3 linked regions of the Notamacropus eugenii genome follow. The protein of the gene in region 1 purifies or fractionates together with the protein of each later gene. This does not show direct contact. Links are inferred from orthologs where the notes say so. Each region holds a gene or a part of one and is shown in the gene's direction. Other genes may lie near its edges. The genes, in order: OCIAD1, SLC6A8 and MTCH2.

What was found.
Region 2: the proteins of OCIAD1 (region 1) and SLC6A8 purify together in Homo sapiens (co-immunoprecipitation; 3 studies listed by BioGRID and IntAct, with this or other methods). This does not show direct contact. The link is inferred for Notamacropus eugenii from reciprocal best matches to the Homo sapiens genes OCIAD1 and SLC6A8.
Region 3: the proteins of OCIAD1 (region 1) and MTCH2 purify together in Homo sapiens (affinity purification with mass spectrometry; 3 studies listed by BioGRID and IntAct, with this or other methods). This does not show direct contact. The link is inferred for Notamacropus eugenii from reciprocal best matches to the Homo sapiens genes OCIAD1 and MTCH2.

What each region holds. Positions count from the first base shown.
Region 1 is NC_092877.1:103,232,885-103,240,820, forward strand, and holds the start of OCIAD1 (OCIA domain-containing protein 1), read left to right. Parts: upstream 1-4,914; coding exon 4,915-5,011; intron 5,012-5,445; exon of another isoform or gene 5,446-5,573; intron 5,574-6,053; exon of another isoform or gene 6,054-6,975; intron 6,976-7,010; exon of another isoform or gene 7,011-7,033; intron 7,034-7,487; coding exon 7,488-7,553; intron 7,554-7,781; coding exon 7,782-7,862; intron 7,863-7,936. UniProt on the Homo sapiens protein: Maintains stem cell potency. Increases STAT3 phosphorylation and controls ERK phosphorylation. May act as a scaffold, increasing STAT3 recruitment onto endosomes. Involved in integrin-mediated cancer cell adhesion and colony formation in ovarian cancer.
Region 2 is NC_092879.1:22,484,166-22,491,625, forward strand, and holds the start of SLC6A8 (sodium- and chloride-dependent creatine transporter 1), read left to right. Parts: upstream 1-4,383; 5' UTR 4,384-5,317; coding exon 5,318-5,579; intron 5,580-7,460. UniProt on the Homo sapiens protein: Creatine:sodium symporter which mediates the uptake of creatine. Plays an important role in supplying creatine to the brain via the blood-brain barrier.
Region 3 is NC_092877.1:3,363,208-3,371,135, forward strand, and holds the start of MTCH2 (mitochondrial carrier homolog 2), read left to right. Parts: upstream 1-4,873; 5' UTR 4,874-5,104; coding exon 5,105-5,191; intron 5,192-7,928. UniProt on the Homo sapiens protein: Protein insertase that mediates insertion of transmembrane proteins into the mitochondrial outer membrane. Catalyzes insertion of proteins with alpha-helical transmembrane regions, such as signal-anchored, tail-anchored and multi-pass membrane proteins.

The sequences.
Region 1 (7,936 bases):
TGATTAGATACGCAAAGATGATCAAAAACCAAAACTTTTGGAGAGGACTAGGGGATATAGGCACACTGAGTTACTACTACTGGAGCTCCATTCCTTTTTAGGCTCCACTTATGTATTCCTACATTTCTTCCCCTACTATTCTCCAGCAGTCTTATCACCCTGAAAAATCCCTCAGTTCTGTGGCTTTCTCATCATGGAAGAAACCTCCACCCTACAGTCCTTCTTCTGATTGGTCAGTTCCTCACAGAACCTCCATTATAAGAAAGTGTTCATGTTCATTCTTTCAAAGTTCCACAAGGCTCCTCTCCGGCATCTCCAAACTTCTTTCTCCATCATGACCTGGTTCAGGTAACTTCTCCTCCTATTCCCACTTTTCAGTTTCCTTTTTGTTGTCTTTCCTGGTAGAATGTAAAGTTATTGAGGTAAAGGATTATCTTTCTTTTTGCTTGTATTTGAGTTCCCAGTACTTAGAGCACAGTGCCTGACACATAGTTAGTGCTTATTAAATGCTTGTTGACTTGACTAGAGTTGACTTGGAGTTGTGAACTGGTTCAGCCATACTGGAAAGCAATTTGGAACTATGCTCCAAAAGATACTAAGTAGTATACACCTTTTAATCCAGTTATACCAGTATTAAAATAAAGACATCAAAGAAAGAGGAAAATGATTCATATGTACAAAAATATTCATAGCAGCTCTGTATGTAGCAGTACTGGAAACTGTGAATGTGTCAATGAATTGGGAAGTGGCTAGAGAAACTATAATATATGAATAAAATGGAAATATTATTGCACCATAAGGAGTGACAAAAGGAATCTATTCAAAGGAACCTATTGATAGGCTTTATATGAATGGATTCAGAGAAAAGTGAACAAAACCAGAACAATTTGTATAATAACAATACCACTGTAAATACAAACAATTTTGAGACTCAACTTTTTTGATCACTACAATGCCAAACCACAATTCCAGAGGACAAATGCTGAAGCATGCTACCACCACCTTTGGACAGGGAGGTGACACATTTAAGATAAAGAAAGCTATATATTTTTAGATACGGTCAATGTGAGAATTTTTTAAAATTATGAATTATGCAATTTTGTCCCAAAGTTTTGTTTTTCTTCTTCTTTAATTTTTTTTCGGGGGAGGGAGAGGGGAGTGAGGGACAGAGTTCCCACTCCAACGCCCCCCTCCCAAAAACAAAGAGAGAACAAAAGGAAGACTATAGACAAGCAGGACAGTCTGAATGTTATTAAGTTTTCTCATTTGTAAAATGAACTGGGGAAGGAAATGGCAAACCACTCTCGTATCTCTGCCAAGAAAATTCCAAATAGGGTCACAAAGAGTAGGACAGGGCTGAAAATGACTGAACAAGAACAATTGAAAAGAAAAACAAGCTCTACATAATAGATTTACAGTTGTATATAGAGTCCTTTCCTCCTGATCTACACTGTTCATTGTATCTGGTGTTTTTTAAGTTCAGAATAAACGAAAAAGAAGAAATAAAAAAGAAAGCAGAGCATCAGAGAAAATTAATTGTGGAGTACTGAAAAGTCCCGAGAGAAAACAATTCTCAGGGAAAAGTACTTACTGAAGACAAAGAAGGTCCAAGTGTCTGGTTTCCCAGAAACCAATTTATATGTAACTATTAACGAAGATTTTGAACTTTAGAGTTGGAAAACCCTAATAAATAAAACTTTTTGATAACTATGAGACAACCACATATTATATATTTGTGGTGGACCAATGAAGGTGTGAATTTTGGTTTCTCACCATAAGGCAGAGATGAGGAACATCATAAAGGAGAACATCATGCTATGAGGTAGGAGAGACGGAAGTGGAGACTGAAGGAGCTGAGCGAAGACAGTAGCACAGGAAGAAGGCAGGACTGGCCCCTGGCTGGCTGGAGAGAGAGCAGTTCAGTTAAAAAGAGCTGAGAACACGGCTCAGAATTAAGACTGCATAACCATACTATAGCAGTCCACCTATAAATCTGAGTAACATTCCCACTAATGCTTATAGTTTCCATGGGAAAAGTGGACACAAACTTAACAAAATTCTAGCAAAGAAGCCCATTAGTGAGGAAAAGTGACAGGAACAACTGAGAACTACAGGAATTGGATGTGGATGATGATGATGATTCCAGCAGATGTTCCTAAAAAAAGCACTCATACTAAGGGCAGAGAGAAGAGCATTGCCCTTCTGCTGAGCTGTATGGATTAAGACTTAAACTCTGTTTCTACGAGCTGAAATGATTGGAGGAAAATGATTGCAGCTGGCAGCTTATTGGAGAAGGAAGAATCCTTTGCTGCTTAACCAGGAGTGTATTGGTAAATGCTCAGCAACCAATTCTTTAAAGTACATTATGCAAGATATAATGGTAAGTTTAATTTGCATTACTAACATTTTCTCAATCACTTTATTAAGTCTACAAATCAACAAGTTAATAAATCAAGTCCTGATCTGTAGGATTTGCCAATTTTCACAAGTAATAAAAACTTATCCTGAAAATTTAACAATTGGTTTTCACAAGCCAGTACCTGGTGCCAGCACATCTGTATTTCTAGCTGGTGGGAAAAGATAAAGCTTGTCTACCATGTCCTTTACCTTTACCTGTGGCTTGAAAAGGGGGAACTTCTCCTTCCTCTCAGTCCAGCTAAAAAAAGCAGATCTAAATAGTTCTACAAATCCCAGACTTATAAGAAATGATTCTGATAAAAGAGTATAATGCTGCTTTAGAGACCAGTCTTGGATCAGTTCCAGAGGAGCAACCAGAAGCAATTCTGTCTACCTAGTGCTTCATGTGGCAGACTGTTCCCTAGAGAGCCAGTAGCATCAGTTCCTGTAGTTCTCAGTTGCTACTGCCACATTTCCTTACAAATGGGCCTCTTTGCTAGAATTCTGTTAAGTTTGTGTCCGTCTACTTTTCCCATGGAAACTACATGCATTAGTGGGGATGTTACTCGAATTTATAGGTGAACTGCTATGTTACAGTTAAAATTGCTTTGTATTCTGCATTCTAATTGTTTCATGATTCAAAATTAATGGCATCATTTTGACTGTTATGCTTTAAATGGACATCACTGGGGGGGGTGGGGGGGGGGGCAGAAGCAAAGCTTGTGAATATCTTTGACACACTAGGATTACCCCTAAGACTTCTGAGAGACTGAATTGTGGCCATGTGGCTTTCCTTACTCTTGAACCCTAATTTGCTGGTGAGTCTGATAGTCCAGATTGAGAAAAAGTCACTATCTGAGCTACCCACTTCCAGTTCCAAGTTCCACAGAGCTACACAGAGAGCAAGCAGCTGAAATTATCTACAGTTGCAGGCCAATCCCCACCAAGGGCATCTACTGGCCCACACCATGTGCCTGTTAGATTCTTTTCCCCAGTATGATTCAACCAGACTCCACCTCCTAGCAGGTGGAATTTTATAGATTTTCCAGGACTAGGGATGTGGTAAAGCCAGAATAGAAACAGAACTGGAGAGAGGGATTCATCAACAAGAGGACTTCTTTTATGCTATTTAGAATAAAGGAAAGGACTCCAGGAAGGAAGCCTGAGTGAATGGTTTGGCATAAGCCTAAACAGATTATTAAGGACCTCAAAACAGCTAGAAATTCACCAAACTAAAAAGAAAACAACAGCACATCAAAGAGGAAAGGACACAAATTCCATAAGGAAACATCCACAAAAAGAAACTAGGAAAGAGATTAATTGCCACAAGGTTGCTGAATTCTCACAAGACTCCCTTTTATTGGTGCAAAGAATGACTATCTGATGCTTCATACCTTTGTAAGGGGAAGAGTTGTTAAGTTTGGGACAGGAAGAGATCCTTTGTGCTCAGCACCTGGCTTCAAGAGAGGACACATACCATTCCAGGCTGGTTCAGGGAGAGGCCCCTGAAGGGAAAAAAAGACTCTGGGAAAAAGCCAATATATAAAGAGCCAGTAGCTGAACACGTCCCTGATTCCCAGCCTGCAACACCACGGACTTTGATGTATTTCTTCCTAGGTGACATTGGGGACTCCCTTGGTTGAGCTGAGATTTCATTTCCAGTGAAAGAGCTCACTCTGTGTATTGTCTAGTATACTGTAACCTGTACAACTTCTCTCATTTCTATTTCCTGTTGCCTTGGATAAAAGGGTTTTATTCACAATTTGTGAATGGTTTTCTCATAACTATCTTTTGGTGGGAAAATAGTTGAGCCTTCAGATATCAGATATACCTTGGGGACCGCCTTTTTTGTTAAATGAGAGTAACTGGGCTTGAACCTAAAAATTATCTCTTCTAGACTAGCAAAACTTGGGGGAGGGGATCAGACGGATAAATTCTGGTCTAGCATCCCCTCTGAGCAGAGTAGAGCAAGAGAGCTTAGTGGCTCCAATCTCCTGCTCCTCTCCAGGTAGGAATCAGTTGGGAGACATTCCAGAGAGATCTACTTATCCCTCACGGTAAGCCACACGTAGACAACCCACCTACCTGACAACACACAGGAACACATACACGTGCCTTCTGTTGTGAAGAAATTAGAGAAAGGGGAGTTAAACTAATACAATGAAAAAGTGTTCTGGAGTAACCATCTCAGGGCTTCCAGTTCTTTTGACTTGAGAGGGGGCTGCAAGGCCTATACTGCGGACTGTTTGGCTTTGTTTCCACAGGGCACACAGTAGTCTCATCGTATAACTAATTAACAGAAGGGACCCTGGAGCTCGTGCCGGCCCAATCCTCGTACTTACTGATCAGGCCACTGACTTCCCAGAGAGGTGGTGCCTGGCCTAACGTCATCAGCTCCTGGCTGGCTCTAGCATCCAAGTGCTGACTCCAAATCCCACGCTCCACTACCACGTGGCATGCCCCTGCCCCACGCGTTACTGGGGTCTGCGGTGGCGCACGCAGGGGACATAGTGTAGAATGGAAGCTGCATTAGGCTGCGGACGGGGCAAACGAGACGCAAGGGATCCTGGCAAGGAAAGAGTCCCTTTTCTGCCTCCGCACCGCTTGAATGCAGGTGGGCTCCTACGTGTCCCCCCGCGAGAATACGAGGCGCCAAGTGCTCAGGAGGGTCCCAGAATTCTCGTGCTTTGCCCGCTCAGGAATTCAGTTAGGTTTAAGAAAAGATGGGTCGCAGAGGGCAAAAGTTCAATTCCCAACCGGGAGGTGGAAAGGGACTTGCGGCTCTAGAACTCAGACGCCTGACGTGCGCAAGTGCAGTGCGAGGAGGCCTCGAGAGGGTGGGAAAGGGGAGGGAGAAGGGGCGGGACTAAAGTAGATTTCCAACCAAAGCCCGCGAGTGTTTGCACGTGAGTGTAGAAGGAGAAGGTGGTTGGTGGAGGTCTTGAGGTCATTTCCTGCTCCTTGATTACGTAAGCATCCGGGTCTTTGTCCTTTAGCTTAAACGCTAGGTGCCCACTCCGCCCCCTCGGCCGGCCTCGCGTGCCTTCCTCCGGCCTCGCTCTCGCGTAGCGCCAGCCCCGCCCCCCGGCCCATCCCTTCGTCCCCTCCCTCCCGCAGCTTAGGTGGGGGGGGCTCGCGTGCGCTCTTGCTGCCGCCGCCGCCGCCGCCGCCGGGAGGTGGGTGAGGGGCCTTCCTGGCCCAGAAGGGAGGGCACGACCAGCCGGACAACCCCGAGGGAACTCAGGGCCTCCGGGGCCGAGAAGCTGTGACCTCCCATCCCGCTCCCCATTCATCCGCGGGACCGGGCGGCTGCTGGGTGTCCGGGGTGGGGAGGAGGGGGAGGGGTCCAGGAGTTAGGGGGGCCGTCTGTGCTCCGGGCCATGGGAACCCCGTTTGGGGGCGGAGCGGGGAGGGTCGCCTACTTTGTTTGTTCTCCGTGTCCTCTGGGACCTCCCGTGCAATCGAGCCTTTTTTGCCCCCTGCGTTTTAGAGGCTGTCTAGACGTATTGTCTTCCTTCGGTGGGGGAGGGGGCCCGAGCGCGCTGCGGACTGCCGGTCTGTAAAATGCCGGGGAAGCGTCCGAGGCCCGGCCTGCCCCCGCGTCTGTTTTGTGGGGGGGCTCAGTTCTGTGGGGAACTCCCAGTGAGAAAACTGCCCCTTGCTTTAAGGCTCCAGGGCACCCAGTGATCTCCCTGGGCTGTCAGGGGCTGGAGTTAGGTTCCTTCCCCCGCCTCCCGGGCATGCCTTCTGTGGTGTGTTGTGGCTAACCCTTTTGTAATTCAACTTTTTAAAAATTATCTCATTTTATAATTGTATGTTGAGAAGCAAGGGCTTTCCGTGGGACGTAGGACAGGATCATATATCTGAATTTGAGGATGAATTTAAATAAGTAGAAAGATGGAATCTGCCCTCCCATTTTTTCCAAACTGCTTTTTTTTTTTTTTTGCCAAAAAGAAGGCTAGTATTTTATGATCACTCCTGGTTTTTTTTGTAGAGGAAAGGATATTAGATTTGAAAATAGAAGGACCTAGAGTGAGTTCGATTCCACCAATTATAATTGGCATAAATTATAAGTAATATTGGCATAGTTTTAGTCGAAGTCGCATTTATCACAGTATTTTTGCATGCCAAAACGTTTTAAACAATTCCCATAGAGGGGTAAGATCGACACCTAATTCTTGCCTCACTGCTTTTACATTTTTCCAGAAATGGAGTCCTTATCTTAGGAGTTTTGTCTTTCAGTTTATCAAATACTATACTACTGTTTTGGATGACTTATGTAATGTTTCACTAGTCGTCTTTTTTATTTGTTAACTAGTACCAAATTTTATTATTTTATGTTGTATTGCTCTCATACTGCAGCTTAAGGACCCATTAATTTTTCCTTTGTGCGACCTTATGCAAGTAACTATGCACTTCTTAGTTTCTTCATCAGTAGAATAAAGAGGTTAGAATAAATACATGATGTCTGAGATTACTACTTTGTTACTTGGTCATGGTCTACTTATTCTTCAGTGACCCCTGGAACCACAGCGTGCCAGTGCTACCTGGGATTTTCTTGGCAAAGATAATAGAAAGGTTTGCCATCTCCTTCTCCAGTGGATTAAGACAGACGGTGGTTAAAGGATTCTCCCAGGTTAACACAACTAGTCAGTTACCTGAGGCTGGATTTGAATTCTGGTTTTCCTGACCCTAGACTCAGCACTCTATCCAATTAGCCATCTAGCTGCCCCTGAGATTGCTTCTAGTACCAATGTTTTGTGAGGAATTGGGATGAATTTGAATTTTCCATAAAATTATGTGAAATAAATCAACTTTACTAAGATAAGCATTCCTTTTGGTTTTGCACAATTGCAAAGGCAACACAGATGACAAGTATTTGTGAAGTTGCAAGATTTCCTCCCCAGTGCCATTTTATAGACATAGTATTTTAATGAGGGAATAACTTCACCCTACTCAACAAAACTATGATTTTTTTTTACCCATCCTGGTAGTTTTTGTGATGTCATGTTTATGAATCAATAACAGTATCTATTTTTAAATAATTTTGTGATACTTCTTAACCTTCTAATATAATTCTCTTACAACAGGAAAGATGAGTGGAAGGACCGATTTTGGGACAGAGCAGAATGCAGAAGTCTCACCACCACTACCTAGTAAATAATTTATTGAACATTTGTAAATGCTGAAACTTTCTGTAGTTTACTTTTCTTTGGCTTGAGAGATACTAAGGTTTAGACATATTTGAAATCGAAATTTTTCCAAAGTTGAAAAAGTACTTTCTACATATTTTAATTGTGTCATTGAAGAATGAATACTGTTAAAATGTAGAGTTTTTTCTTGTAGGTTTTTTGATTGTTTTTTTTTTTAACTTTGATAAAAAGACATAGGAATGGATTACATTCCGACGGAAGAGGAAAGAAGAGTCTTCGCTGAATGTAATCGAGAGAGCTTCTGGTACAGATGTAAGTCAAGTTATTTATTACATTTTAAGTAATTATTGTCTGAAAGTAATTAAGTGTCTGAAAAGATCACAGTG
Region 2 (7,460 bases), on another chromosome or scaffold:
GCTGTTCCTCTGTCTCTGGGCATCCACTTTGCAGTTCTCTGCTACAACAAAAAATGTTGCTATAAAGTTTTGGTTTATGATGGATCCTTTCTTTGGTGTATGTGGGGACCTTCAGGTATATGTCTAGTAGTAGAATCTCTGGTTCAAAGGACCCAATGCTTTCTTAATTGCTCAGTCCCGGGTGGGGAACTTGTGGCCTCGAGGCTACACGTGGCCTTCTAGATCCTGAAGAGCGGCCCTTTGACCAAATCCAAACTTCCCAGAACAAATCCCCTTAATAAAAGGATTTGTTCTGTAAAACTTGGACTCAGTCAAAAGGCTGCATCCCAGGACCTTGAGGGCCACATGTGCCCTGAAAGCTGCAACGTTCCCACCTCTGAACTATTATCTCCATTGGATGACATCCAAATTTATACAGTTATCCCTTGCACATCAAGATTTTGCCCATCTCGGTTTCAATATATCACAGGTCGGCATAAGAAATTAAATGGGAATTTTTTAGGAGTTTTATGGAAAGTGCAAACGACAGAAAAACTTTAGAAACTCAGAAATACATAAAATGTATGTATAGTATTGTATAATACCAACATATTTCATCATTTGATACCATAATAATTAAGGTTTCTTCTTTGGTACAAAGGGAGGGCCAAAACTTTTTACTTGGATTTTCCAGATTTTGGGGGGGAGGGGTCCCAAGCCTTTAACCCCTGAGGTATAGAAGGGATAAGTATATATTCAGCCCCAGTCCCACATCACCAATTACCTTTTTTAAACTGGATATCCCAGGAATACCTCAAACTTAACATGTCCAAAACTGAAGTCATTACCCCACACCCCCCAAACCCTCCCCTCTTCCAAGCTTCCCTCTTATCTGTCAAAGGCACCACCATTCCTCTAGTCTCCCAGCTTCATAACCTTGGCATCATCCTGGTCTCCTGGCTCTCTCTCATCCTACATATCTCAAAGTTAATGCCAAATCTTGCCCTTTTGCCCTTCCATCTTACCCCTTCTCTCCACTCACATAGTACTATCTTACTTCCGATTGTTGCACCAGCCTCTTCATTGGACTCCCTGCCTCAAGTCCCCTCTCACTGAAGCCCATCCTCCACACTGCTGCCAAAACACAGATATGAACCCTTGACAATCAACTCTGATGGCCCCTTACTACCTAGATGATGATATATATAAGCTTCTCTGTTTAGTTTTTAAAGCATTTTGAAATCTGGTTCCTACCTCCCTTTCTATTGGATGTCCCTTCTTCCATACCCTGGGATCCTCAAAACTGTCCTCTAAATGACACTTCTGCACAGACCCCAAGCCTTGCTGGGTTCTCTCGGCCTCGCTTTTTCCTTTTTCCTCCCAACACGGTGCCCTCCCTCCCCAGCTACCTTGTACTTAAGGTTTTGTATTTTACTCTCCTTAGATTTACCCCGTCTACACTTACACATGTCCCAGTAGCTTCCCCATTAAAGGACAATAACCAACCAACCAGCCTCCCCATTAGAAGATCAACTCCCAGAGGGCAGAGATCGTTCCAGCTGCCAAGGCCGGGCACACAGTCTGGTATGAAGTACTTGTAGGTTGTCACCGGATAAAGGGATCAGGGGATGTGGCATTTCTTTAGTCATTTTAAGTGGGGTGGGGTGGGGTGATTGATTCAATGCCCCCCCCAACCCCTTACAAAGGAAAGACAGGCCAGGAAAGATATTAACGGGAGACACCGGCTGGCTCTGGCTCCCTCCTGCTCCTCCTAGGCGTCACCACTAAGCAACCCAACCTTCTACTCTCAGACTCATAGGTCCCCTAGGGCAGGAGCTCTAGGGGACAGCAGCTCAATCTGGTTTACTCTGGAACTGGATTTGCCAGCTCCCAGCTGGCTAGAGGCTTAGCTGGCTGAGCCTTAGGCCTGGGCACTGGGGCCCTTGGCTGGGAGAAGAAGGGAAGGAGGAAGAGAGGAAGAGAGAAAGGGAGGGAGGGAAAGAGACAGGGAGATGAGTTTTCCCCCTCAAGGGAACCACTAATTCGTAAGTGCTGAGCCTTAGGCCTGGGATGTAGGAACCAAGGAGTGACTAGTACAGCTGGAAATTCTGGGGAGGGGCCTCTTGGGCCCGCAGGGGGAGGTTCCCATAGTGGTCACCAGAGGGCCGCCGAACCACACTCCTTCCTCCCTGAACCATTGGCAGGGGTGGAGGATGATTGGAGAGTGGGGAGACCACTTAGGATGGGAAAGCTGTGATCAGGGCCTGAACCTGGTGCAGGCTGTGTAGGTAAAAGCAAAATTACAGGCCTACAGAGGGATACTTGGAACCTGGCTACTGCTTAAATATGGGGACTGGGAGGAGATTTGAGGGTGACTCGGAAGTTGATGAATCTGGTAACTAGAAAAACAAAGGTGTCCTGAACAGAAATTAGGACGTTAGAAGGAGGGGTGGATTTAGGAGGAAAGATAATGAGGTCTGCTTTGCACGTACTGAATTTGAGCTGTATGTGAGCCGTTCAAGAGGAGGTCTCTACTCTGCCAAAGCAATCATCCAGGATGTCTATTTCTAGGACCCTTTGGTTTGCAAAGCACCTCACTTCCAACCACCCAGTGACTCCCTTTTTCCTGTGAGAAAATGGAGGAGTAGAGAAGTCAGGCATCTGCTAAGGAAGCATCTGGGACCTAGTATCCACTCTTATCTCCTAACTAGGGCCACAAATGTAGCCAGTGCTTGGTTCTTCCCTTACAAGTTCCTCTGCACTGATACACATGCAGATCCATGCCCAGATGAATGCAGTTCAAGGCCCCTGAGTGCCAACCCTGCCAAGTCATCCCCAACTAGCTGTGTGCCTTTGGCCAAGTCACCGGATGATCCTAGTTGCTTCCTGCCATGGTCAGACTTAGGCTTCAGGAAAAACACCTCAGCAGCTAGCTGTGAGGGGGCCAGATGAGGGAGGAAGGTTCTCTGGGCCTGCGCCTTGGGGCCAGGTGGATAATGAGGTCAACAGGCTGGGAACTAGATTGGACAAACATTTCTCTAAGATCACTTCCAGTTTCTGTTTCTGAGGCAGATGTAGAACTCCTATATACACACCCACAAGTACACACCCTTGGTCCACACTCATACAATGGGGTAAAGGGCTGATAACCTCAGCTCATTTCTTCCATTCACAGAAAGGACTTTTCTGTTTCTTAATGACCAGTTGTAACGGGTTCCCTCTCAGGATCAGAAATGCCCAAGCTGCTTTGAGTTGGGGACTGGAGGTTGATTCTTGTAATCAGAGAAAGACTCATCTATATTCATTAATCCACCTTCATCCCCCACCACACCCCACTCATTTATCCCTCAGAGGTACCACCCTCCCTTGCTTGGTAGGCCTCCGGGAAGTTGTTACCTGGCCCAAAGTCCCCCTTCCCCCCAGACCCTCCATCTACAATCCTGTAACAACTCTCCAAGACAGCCCCGGATCTACAGTTTCTTTGTTTGTTTCAATATAATCCTTGTTGTTGTGGCAATATAATCTTATCTCTGCTGATAGGTTGGTTTTTACAATTTACTCTTTTACGAATTTATCGGTCACCTCCGAGGGCAACGAGTCATACTTTGTAGCGAAGAATAAAAAAAAGAGAAAACTAGCGATTCAGCAAAACCTACTCATTAACTGTGTCAGGTACTGTAAGTAATATTCCACACCACTAGTCATCCACCTTTAAAAAAGGGAAGTCCGTCACCCCTTTAAATGAGATCTATCGACCCAGAAAGGGATGTTTGGTTAGGACAGCTTAGCAGCCGCCCCCATCCCCACCCCCATTCCCCTCCTAAATTCACGCTTCCCCATTTCCCTCCTTGGGCCATTCCATGAGCCCCATCCAGCGCCAAATGGAAGGGGGAGAAGGTCAAGGCTTGTGGGGGGAGAAAGGGGGGTGGGCAGTGTTTAAAGGTGCTCAGGGTTGCAAAAGGGGGGACGAGGAGCAGGAGCGAAGCCCAGGAGGGGGGGACTGGGGAGGGGAGACCGGAAAGTATGTGTGTTGCCGGGGGGAGGGAGACAGGCGTTCTCGAAGAAAGGGAAGTAAAGGTTACAGGGAGGGCAGGGAGGGCAGTGATACGGGAGCCAGGGCTGACCCGAAGGCTTCGCTCTGCGGCAGTCTGGCAGGCGGGGGTGGGGTGCGGGGGGTGCCAGGGCAGAGCGCTGTAGGACTTGGGGGCGGGGAGGGGAATCCGCTAAGAAGCCTTTGCCAGCGGGGGCCCAACCCATCCCAAGCGAGCGTGCTGGGAGGAGGAAGGCAAGGAGGTGGGCGGAGTGATGGAGAGGGAGGAACGAGGAGTCGACTGTCGGGGGTGGGGCGACAGTGACATCACCTCGGAGCAGGCTCTTAAGCGGCCCCGAGTCGGGGGGAGAGAATTGTTCTGCCCGCTGGGGAGAGAGCTCGGAGATCGGAGCGGAGGAGCAGGCGATCAGCCCGGAGTCGGAGTTACTGGGGATAGCCCAAGGTAGGAGGAGAGCCTTTCGGGCTCGGGCCGGAAGGCCCCCCCCCCCCCTGCTCTGCAGGGACCCCGCCACCACCTTCTCGGCCGTCTTCTTCCAGAGTTTGCCGACAGCGAGCAGACCTCCACTCGGCCGCTTGCCCCTTGGCATTCTATGCCTCCCGGAGTGCCCAGGTGAACCTCGGGCCCCGCTAAGCCCCCATAGGCGTCCCCCGCTGTAGCCGCCACCGCCACCGCCACCGCCAGCGCCGTCGCAGCCGCCGGGCCGAGTCCCCAGCAGCTGTCCGAGTCTCCCCCCTCCAGCCCCGGACACACATGAGATTCTTCAGGCTGACTTTCAAGTGTTTTGTCGATTGCTTCTGAGTCCCCCCCTCCCGCCCCCTCGAACCTCACAACCCTTTATCCTCCCCCCAACTAGGGGAATCCCCATCCTTTCCCCTTCCCCTCCCCCCTCCCCTTCCCTCTGGCAAAGTTAACCCCCCTCCCCAAATTCTGGGGGCTGCTCCCTTGCTGCCCCCGTAGATCTTGGGCTTGTGTCCCCCTCCCCCAATTGTTAGGGGCATCTGCTGTCGACAGTTGGCGAATTCTTTAGAGGGGATTTGAGGAGACCACCTTGTGCGTCGGAGTACCCGGGCCTCCTTTAAAGGGTCAGGAGTACCCAGACAGTGTCCTTTGTATTCTCTCCGTGATCCCCCCTCACCCTAATCCGAGCCCTCTGTCGTATTCACACACACACACACACACACACACACCCCACACACACACACATACATACACACACTTCACACACACACACACACATACATACACACACTTCACACACACCCCCAGCCCTGCCTAGTAGCGGGGCCATGGCGAAGAAGACCACAGAGAACGGCATCTACAGCGTGTCTAGAGAAAAGAAGGCCTCCCTTCTTGACCCCGCGGACGGGGCCCCCCCAGTCAAGGCGGAGGTGGCAGCAGCCGGGCGGGGGGCCCCGGGCCCAGGCCTGGCCATCCCGCCCCGGGAGACATGGACCCGCCAGATGGACTTCATCATGTCTTGTGTGGGTTTCGCGGTGGGCCTTGGCAACGTCTGGCGTTTCCCGTACCTGTGCTACAAGAACGGCGGAGGTGAGTGTGCAGCTGGCTTATCTTCTCTCCCGGATGCTCACCTCCTGGCCCACATCAGTGTCCGTCCCCCCCACCTTCTCTAACCCCCCCCCCACTTGTCTATCCTATTCCTCCAGCCCTGCTCCCTTTCCCTCCGACCCCATCCCCCCATCTGCTTCACCTCCAGCTCCTAATCCTTGGCAGACCGTTTTCCCCCGTCTATCTCTCCTTGCTTCTCACCGCCTAGCCTACTTTGCCAGTTGAACTCCACACACGCCCCTCCATTGCCCTGGTCATCCATCGGCCTCCTTCCTCCCTTTGGTCCATCCCTACCCAGTCAGAGATGCCAAAGTCCATGGACAGGGAGGACCCGGAAGGGGAGGGGAAAAGGGTTGTGTGTAGATGGGGTGGGGGGGAAGGGATATCGAGAACGCCAGCAAGTAGTGACTGGGGTCCTGAAGTCCCCTCTTCCTGAGTCTTCAATGTTCCCAGGGGTGGAACTAGGGGCTGGGAGATGCCCCCGGGGTGGGCCCAGGTCTGCCACTCTCATTGCTTTGCCCACCCTAAAAGCTGGGGAACTGTAAATGGGAAGGATAGTGAAGACTCTTGGTTGGGGGGGTGAGGGTGGAAGTAGGGGTTGGAGATGGGGAACAGTGAAGGGAATTTGAAAGGCAAGAGAAAGGCCTTTTCTGAAACGGTTTTGCCCCCTCCCCAATCCATCTCAGGGGCTGACTGCCCCTTTAAGAGCATGGGTTACTGGGAGAGCTCTAGGAGGTGTCTGCCTGACACCCCCCCCCTACCCCCCCCCCCCAGGGCCCACAGTACCATACTGAGTGAGTGCACACCTTCCTGCACTGCACAATGGGCCACTATCTGACTGCCTGTCACACTGGGTGCTTCTGCCCCCTTAGGTACACAGGCCTGGCTTTATGTACACATGCGTACGCACTTACACGTGTTCTACGCATGTGTTTATCATTCATGCTCATGCACATGCTGTTACATGTGAATACACGTACCCCACAGGGTACGTGCACTCAGTCATCGCTCATGTATACATGACGACATGTTGCATGTATGTTCTTGGTGTGTTCATAAGGCGTATGGAGTCATAATTTGCACCCCAAGGGGGGGGGCTGCTCGTGGGGAGGGTGCTGTCTAGATACCATTATATTAAGGAGAGTGAACCAGAATCTGGAGGTTCAGGGGCCCAGCAGCATTAGGGGTCTGAGAAGCCAGAAATCTGATGCTCAGCTCTGCTATCTGGGGGAGAAGGAGAGGATTGGGGAGGAGTAGGATAAGATGGTCCCAGATCCTCAGTATCTCAGTGGGTTATGGGTTCCTCTCTCCCTCCTCCCAGCCACTGTCCTTGGCCTTGACCCTTCTGCTAGCCCAATCCTCAGTGCCTGAGGCCCTGGGGGAGGAGGCTGGGTTAGAAGGAGGGGGGCAGGCTTAGAAGGTAAAAGCAGCGTCTCCAACCCAGTTCAACAGGGCTGGGACTTCTAGCTGGCTCATACACCCTCCCATCACCTCCCTGTACCCTCCATCAATTCCCTGGGCCCACTGGTCCCATGTCTCTCTGACCTTTCTCCTTTCTCCTCCCATTCTCTTCTCCTTTCCCTGTCTTTCATCTCTGTCCCTGCCTCCGGTCTTATCTCTTGACCCTATCCCAGGCTGGGGCTCCGTTTTCCATTTCCTCCAGAAAGCTCTCCCTGGCCTCCCCCATCTGTCCTTTTCTCCTGCCCAGGTTGGGGGACCCTGGGGCCCCTCCCTGGCTCACCAGCTGTCTCCACCCCCTGGCGTGGGTTTCTCTCACATGCATGCTTGTGGCTGTTGCGTCACATGACGCAGTATGGCGCAGACACATGAGGCAGGCAGCATGGTTCACAATATCTTGTAGGG
Region 3 (7,928 bases), about 100 Mb from region 1:
AAGGAAGGGAGGAAATATCTGTTCACCAAGAAAGTAACCTTCTGTAGTCTTATTTTTTTTCCCTTTTCTGGGCATTTTCCCATCCAGTGACTTGACTTCTGAGTATTCTCTTCACACCCACTTTGCCTCCAGATCTGCCTAGCCAGTGCCTGGGGTCTGAGATTCAAATGCTGCTTCCCAGCCTCAGGGCTTCGGCAGGGGCAGGGCTGCTATTCAGTGCGAGATGAAGTTCAGGTGTTCAGGTTAGGTCCGGGCAGGGCCGCCTCAGGGCTCAGTTCCCTCAGGGGGGTTATGCAGAGACCTTCAACAATGGATCCGGGCTCCTCCCTGCTTGGGGAGCCCTGGTCTGCTCCCGCCTCCGCTGCTGCCTTCCAAAGAGGCCTGAGTTATGGGGGCACCCCACTTCCCTCTCCGCACGCTGAGAAGACCCTCTCACCAACCTTTGGGGCCCGTGGGTGGAGGGACCTGCAAGGCAGCTGGAGATTCTGTCCCTGAAGCCTGCTCGGATCTGTTCCTCTCAGTGCCGCGCGGCCAAGGCAGGGCTGGGCTCGGCTCCGGGTGGGGGGCGCGACGGACCTTTTGCAAGACGTTTTGAGGGCTCTCTGGAACAGAAATCTCGTCCGCTCCGTTGTTCTGTGGCTTCTACTGCTCCAGAATTTGTTGGGAGTTCTTTTTTACATATATTTTATGGGCTGTGGGTTCGGAGCTAGCGTATGTGTGTCTTTCTACTCCGCCATCTTCATAGATTTAAGTTTTCAAAAAAATATGATAATATCCTTCCATCACCTGACCTCGAGTCAAATAACATCCTCAACTTGTAGGACACTGGATTAAGAGTGATATTTTGTTAAAGCCAATCTCTGTCCTCAATAATTAAATTCAACAGACATTAAGTATACAAGGCACTACTGTGGTAGGCCCCGCAGATAAAAAGAGGTAGAAAGCCAAATGGCGATGGTCTATGTCCTCAAGGAAATTAAAAGTCTCCAGGAGGAGGTGAGATATGCCAAGTATGCAGAAAATGATAATACAAGATAGAATGGGATGAAGGCAAAAGAGAAGTCCAAAATATTCTGGGAACATTTGATGAAAGAGCATTGCTTGATGTGGTACCTGAGCTGAATTTTGATGAAAGGATGCAGAAAGTCCTATATAAGGAAGGAGTATATTGTAGCCATGGGAGAACAATGGTGCAGATTAATTTAGGTCAACAGTAACATTACATAGTGCTATAATACTATATATGTATAGTGTTAAGAGAAGTATTTTTGTGTTTTTGAGAAAAGGTTGCTGGGAAGACATAATTTTTATAGTAACAGCTCACTCACCAAAAAGTCCTATTGTGACACCCCACTAAGGCATGCAGGTCATGACCCTGGGTTTTCCAAAGCTTTGGCAGGTTCTGTCACAATGGAAAGGTTTCAAGTACAGTTCTAGCCACAGATGGCATGTGGTAGCTAAGTACTGAGGGTGTTTATCACCAAGAGGCCCTAGCTGAGTCCCATGCCTGTAAGCTCAGCCTCTTCCCTGCCCTGGCTTCTCTCGCTACTTCTGCAGGAAGCCTTTCTCAGTACTCCCAGCTGCTGCAGACTTCTACCTTGAGATCCTCATCCTGGTCTCTGCATAGATTATGGACCTAAATGTTGGTACACGTTGTCTCCTCCATTAGAATGTCAGTTCCTTGAAAGCAGGAACTGTTTTGTGACTTGCAATAGTTCCACAGCACTTATCACGGTGTCAGGACATAGTATGCATTTAATAAATGATTACTGATGACTGGCAATGGCGAACCACACACACACACACACACACACACACACACACACACACACACACTTTAAATTGTGCTCATTCCTGAACAGTTCCCTTTCTTCGGCAATAACAGCAGATGGTGACAAAGTGGGGATTATCCAGAGTCACAGATTTAAATGATCTATAACTTGGTTGTTGCTACCCTAATGAGAGAATAGAAGCTATACCAAGTATACATATTACTGGAGGAACTAGACATATCAATCTTCATGTTCTCACTAAACAAAACCAGAAGTTGTCATTAAATAGGAGAATGGCTCACAGATTCTCACGTAAGGAAACTGGAAGAGCTGGTTTTATTCTGCATCCAAAGACAATTAAAATAACACCTCATGGAACATTTTGTCACCTTACTGGATATGTTACGTAAGTTTTTGCAAAAAGACTACCATGAAAAACTGCAGTTTATGTACCACTGTCTTACAGATGGTGCAGAAATTCTAATAGAAGTCACTAAGTTTCCCTTTCTCCTAATCAAATCAATCTATACTTTGGTATTTGGTATCTTCAATGCAAAGGGAAGCATAGGTGAGAATGTATATGGGAAAACATGCATCAGGAAAAATGAGGGAAGTCAAAAAGAATTAGACTGTTCAAAAGCCTCACCTTTATATATTATGAATACTTCAAGAAAATAAGCATTAGGCACTTGACAGCGTGGCAAGCACCTAAAAAGGTCCAAGAAAATGAAGTTGATTCTACCTTGACAGGAAATGCCATTATTAGTATAGAAGTCCTACCTGAATGAGCTACCTAGATATAATCAGCCCACCTGTTTATCAGAGCGACCCTCAAAACTGTCAGAAAGCTAGAAAAGCCAAAACCAAAAGACAGCGGCACCCAGCTGAAACCATTCAAACGAGTTACTCACAATGAAAAATGGGGCGTAGCCAGAAAAAGGGTATAAATCCAGACCCCAACAATCTCAGACAGGAGTTTAACTGACATAAACCCACTTCCATGATAAAAAGTAATAAGATCCTTAGAAAGCATCCTAGTCAACAAACAACTTACCTGCCCAGAAGAGACCTAGCATCCGAAGGCGGTCCTGCACATCTGTAACATCTGGAAGCGGGGAGGTTGTGTGCGGTATCACCTCTCTCTTAACCGAGAAGTGAGATCAATTTAAAGTAAGCTCCAAAAGGGATCCAAACTTCCCAAAACAAAGTTGGGTGAAGAGTGATCCCAAGGGCATTTGAGGATGAAAACGGAGGGTCAGGTGAAAACAAAGACGCATCTGCCCAGTCTGGGTAACAAGCTGTCAGCACCACGGACAGCAGAACCGCCACACTCGGACTCTGGAGAGAAGGCAGATGGAGAAACGTTAACCCTGAAGGTTTTAGATGTTGAAGGGACCTACCCTGGAGTGACACACCTTTGAGGGGCAGAAGGGTCAGTCACCTACATCTGGAGGAGAGAGAGGTAACAGGTAAAGAAAAAACGTCTCAGACTTTGCTGATACCAAAAAAAGAAAGGGAAAGGCAACTGAGAAAACGTTGGCTATCCGATGTCCAGGCGCCAGGTCAGCGTGCGGCGGAGGGCGTCCTCCACGGGGGTACCCTCCACGGGGGCACCCTCCACGACGGCGCCCTCCACGGGGGCGTCCTCCACGGGGGCACCCTCCACGGGGGCACCCTCCACGAGGGCACCCTCCACGGGGGCGTCCTCCACGGGGGCACCCTCCACGAGGGCACCCTCCACGGCGGCGTCCTCCACGGGGGCGCTGGCAAAGCAGGGACAGGCAGGCTGTCCTGGGCAACGTCTCCGCCGTCACAAAACCCCCCAAGGCTGGGAAGCCCGCCAGATCTCTCCTCGGGCACCCCCTCAGACACCCCAGATACGTCACCGTGTCTGCTAGCGCTCTGCCGGCGCAGCTTTAAAGGAATCCTCCTGCTCAGATAAAAGCCTTGACCGCTACAAGCCTGACTGCCGATGACTCACCGCGAGCACTGCCTGGACGAGGGCAGACTGACAGCATCGTGTCAGCACAAGGCAGACCCAAGTAATTCAGCCACGTGTAATACGCGGCAAAGCGCGCCTGCGCACAGAACAGGAGAGGCAAGGGATGACGTCAGGGACGTCGCGCCTCAGCACCCTCGCCCTCCACGCGGGCCCTACGAACTTCTGAAAAACAACACTTGGAAACCATGTTTTAATAGGACTGGTTTCCTGCGTAGCTCTGCGCTTGTTCCACATTTAGAAACATGTTCCGGGCAAGGGGGGCACAAAATACATGGCAGGAAGGCCCGCCTCCTGAGGAGAGCTCGGCCTTCACACCGCCCCCTTTTCCTGGTTTTCTGGGGTCCTCGCGATGCTCTTGGGCCAAACACACGCGTCACTGACCGGGCCTCGGCGCTCGTGGGGCCGCGGAAACCCACCCAGAGGGCAAGGCGCGGGCGGGCTCGGAGGTGGGGGCGCAGCCTCAAGGCCCGGGCCCCGCTGAGACCTCTAACGGCCCGGCGCCCAAGGGGGGCAAGGGCAGCCCCGACGGGGCACGGGCTTGGTGATGTTACGTTCCACGCTCCCAACCCCACGGGGCCCTCCCTTGGCTCCCACGGCCGCCCTCGGGAGCCCAAACTCCCGAGTTCGAGTGTCACCTCGGCCGCTCGCTAGCGAAGGGCGGGGGCCCCCCGGGCCCCTCACGTGGCTCCGCCCAGCGCCCCCCGCGGCTCGCCTCCGCTTGGGCGGGAAGGCCTGGGCAGCAGGAGAAGGGCTCCTCGCCCGCTCCTGGGTGAGGAATGGGGATCCTCGAGTGAGGCCCACGGACTGACGCCGGAGGAAGGCGGTTATCTTCGTGATTCTCCGGGGGAAGGGCCGGGAGCGCTTTCTTCCAGCTGTCCGGCAGTTAGCGGCCAAGTGAACTACCCGCCATGGCGGTTACGGCTCCTCCTTCCCTCAGGCCTCGCTCCGCCCCTTGCTGCCCCGCGCAAGCGCAGTAGCCTTCCGCCCCGCCGCGTGGGGCCAAAGCGAGGACAGGCCCAGGGGCTTGGACGGGCCCAGGGGGCGGGGACGGGCCCAGGGGGCGGGGACGGGCCCAGGGGGCGGGGACGGGCCCAGGGGGCGACCCCGCCCCACAGGCCTCGCCTCCTCCCCTCGGCTCGCGAGGCGCCGCCGTTTCTTCGGGTCCTGCGTGCGCGCCTCCGCCGCCGCTCGCGGAAGGCGGGGAGAGGGCGTGCGTGCGCGCTCCGCGGGTCAGCGAAGCCGCCGGCCCCGGCACGTGATCCGGGACCCGGTCGGTCGGTGGCTTGGTCCGCCAGCCCGCTAGTCCGTCGCTCAGTCCGTGGGTGCCATCATGGCGGAGGCGGCCAGTCAGGTGCTGCTGGGCTCGGGCCTCACTATCCTCTCGCAGCCGCTCATGTACGTGAAGGTGCTCGTACAGGTAGGAGGAGCCGCCGCCGGGCCTGCCGTCCCCGTCCCCGGCCTGCCGTCCCCGTCCCCGGCCTGCCGTCCCCGTCCCCGGCCTGCCCCGAGGCCCGGGGCGCCTCATCCCTGGTTCCCTGGGCCCCATAAAGTCAGGCCTGAGGGGACCTTGCGAAAGGGACGCGCGGCCTGCCCGGGGCCCTGGCCCGGCCCGGCCCCTTCTGGGCCCAGGAGCCTCCGAACCCGATCCAGAAGGTGTGATGGGTTCTCCCCGTCGGCCCAGCTCAGAGACCGCCCGGACGGGGACCCTCCCCCCGCTTCCCTTTTCCTTTCAGTCGGAAAGAAAATGATGAAAAGAGGTAAAAGCGCCGTAAGACCCGGCCCCTCCCCCCTCTGCCGGCGCCGAGTGACCGTGGCCGTGGGGCCACCGTGGCCGTGGGGCCGTCGCCCTTCTGGCTGCTGCGGTCCGTGGCAGGCTTTGGAGCCAGGCACCCGTGTGGGCACCAGGAGCGCGCTCAGAAATGGCAGCGGGTGCCCGGGATCTGTTCTCTGCTCTGCCCTGGGAGCCCGTGGGCGCCCCACTGCCCCGGGGTTCGAGAAAGTCACCGAGAGCCGGCGCGGGCTTGCCCCCTTTGGAGCGCTGAGTACTTTGAGCTTTCCCCCGAGTTTCTCCTTCGCTGGTACTGCCCAGCACTCGCTGCGGGCACTGACACTGTTCCCTTGGTTCTCCCCTCAGTCCTGTGCTGTGTCGGTCCCGCTGCCAGGCGTGCCCTCTCCCGGGGGCGCGCCCTCTCCCGGGGTCCCGCTGCCAGGCACGCCCTCTCTCCGGCTGACATCTCAGCTCCCGTGCTGTGTGCTGTGTCAGGTCCCGCTGCCAGGCGCACCCTCTCCCCGGCTGACATCTCAGCTCCCGTGCTGTGTCGGGTCCTGCTGCCACGCTCGCCCTCTCCCCGGCTGACATCTCAGCTCCCGTGCTGTGTGCTGTGTCGGGTCCCGGTGCCACGCTCGCCCTCTCCCCAGCTGACATCTCAGCTCCCGTGCTGTGTGCTGTGTCGGGTCCCGCTGCCATGCTCGCCCTCTCCCCAGCTGACATCTCAGCTCCCGTGCTGTGTGCTGTGTCGGGTCCGCTGCCAGACGCGCCCTCTCCCCAGCTGACATCTCAGCTCCCGTGCTGTGTGCTGTGTCAGGTCCCGCTGCCAGGCGCACCCTCTCCCCGGCTGACATCTCAGCTCCCGTGCTGTGTGCTGTGTCGGGTCCCGCTGCCATGCTCGCCCTCTCCCCGGCTGACATCTCAGCTCCCGTGCTGTGTGCTGTGTCGGGTCCCGCTGCCATGCTCGCCCTCTCCCCGGCTGACATCTCAGCTCCCGTGCTGTGTGCTGTGTCGGGTCCCGCTGCCAGGCGCGCCCTCTCCCCGGCTGACATCTCAGCCAAGCCTGACTTCAGTCTGAACGCTCGTTCTCTTCTCCTCGCGTCCCCCGGGAGGGTCCCCGTTCTTGCCGTCCCCCGAGGTCCTAGCTCCGGTCACTTCCCCGATCTCCGCCGTCCTCACCGCCTGTCTCCTAGAAGTACTGCGGGGTGCCGTGCCCCCACGAACACCCCAACTCCGGAAGCTTGGGTGGCAGCGATTGGTGAGATGCGAATCAGAAGAGATCCGAGCTTCAGACCCAAGTGTCGAAGCGCTCGGGGAAAGCAGGCAGGTGGGCGCTGTCGGGGAGCTCGGAAGGGGGCTCGGACGCCCGTGTGCGGGGTGCCTTTGGGGAACAGCGAGGAAGTGCAGCCCTGCCCGCGGCCCTGGTGGTGGCCAGGAGCTGGGAGTGGAGGGCTGAACAAGCCCCAGTGCGGGACGTGGAGAATGAGATGGCGTCCGGAAAGGAGTCTGCAACGGGCCAAGACCTGGCAGGGTGGTTCTGGATCGGCACCCCCTGCCGAGAGGGGGAGCCTGCGGGGCCAGGGAGCAACTTGGAGACTTCTTCTGCTTGGCTGAACTCGTTGTAGGGATTTGGCTTTTCTTTTGTTTCCAGGCTGGGGGAAATAGGGAGTGGGGAGAAAGCCTCATAGTTCAAAAAATGAAATGAGTTCCTGTTAGGGTCAGAGAGGACCCTCCTGTTTGGCCTTTGAAGATCTTCTGTGTGGCCCTTCCTAAATCTCCAGTCTCCTGACACTTTACTCCCTTTGACCAACTGGGAGATCTAACCAGAATGCTGTTCCTCACTCAGGAGACTTCATCTCCGTTGTCTGGGCCTTTGTACTAGCTGTTCCCCATTCCCTCTTTGTCCACTTGTTGGAGTCCCCAGCTTCCTTTCGGGAGCAAGGCCTTCCTCAGTGGCTCATCAGTGGCTTTCCGTCCGAGGTTACCTCATGTCCACTCTATTTGTCCCTTGTGCATACTTGTCTGGGCCTCTTGTCCTGTGTGTAGAGTGTCCACTCCTGAGGGTGAGTGGGACTGGGTCCTTCTGTCTTGGGACGTTTCCTGGCAGCCAGAGAAGTGTCCTGCGTGTGGTGGGTGCTTAATAAAGATGTCTTGCTTAATAGATCTGACATGACTAAAGTTTACAAAGTGCTTTCCAAGTCGTACGTCTTGGGAATATGAACCTGAGTTCCATGTTGGAGAGAATCACATTTCAACATTCTTTGGCTTAAGCTGAAATTAATTCAGGTTGTCTATCAAAAGCTGACATTTGTGGGTTTAGATTCCACAGTGCCAGGGTTTATTTGCACCATAGGGTAGATTCAGAAGAAAAGATTTGGACTCCACA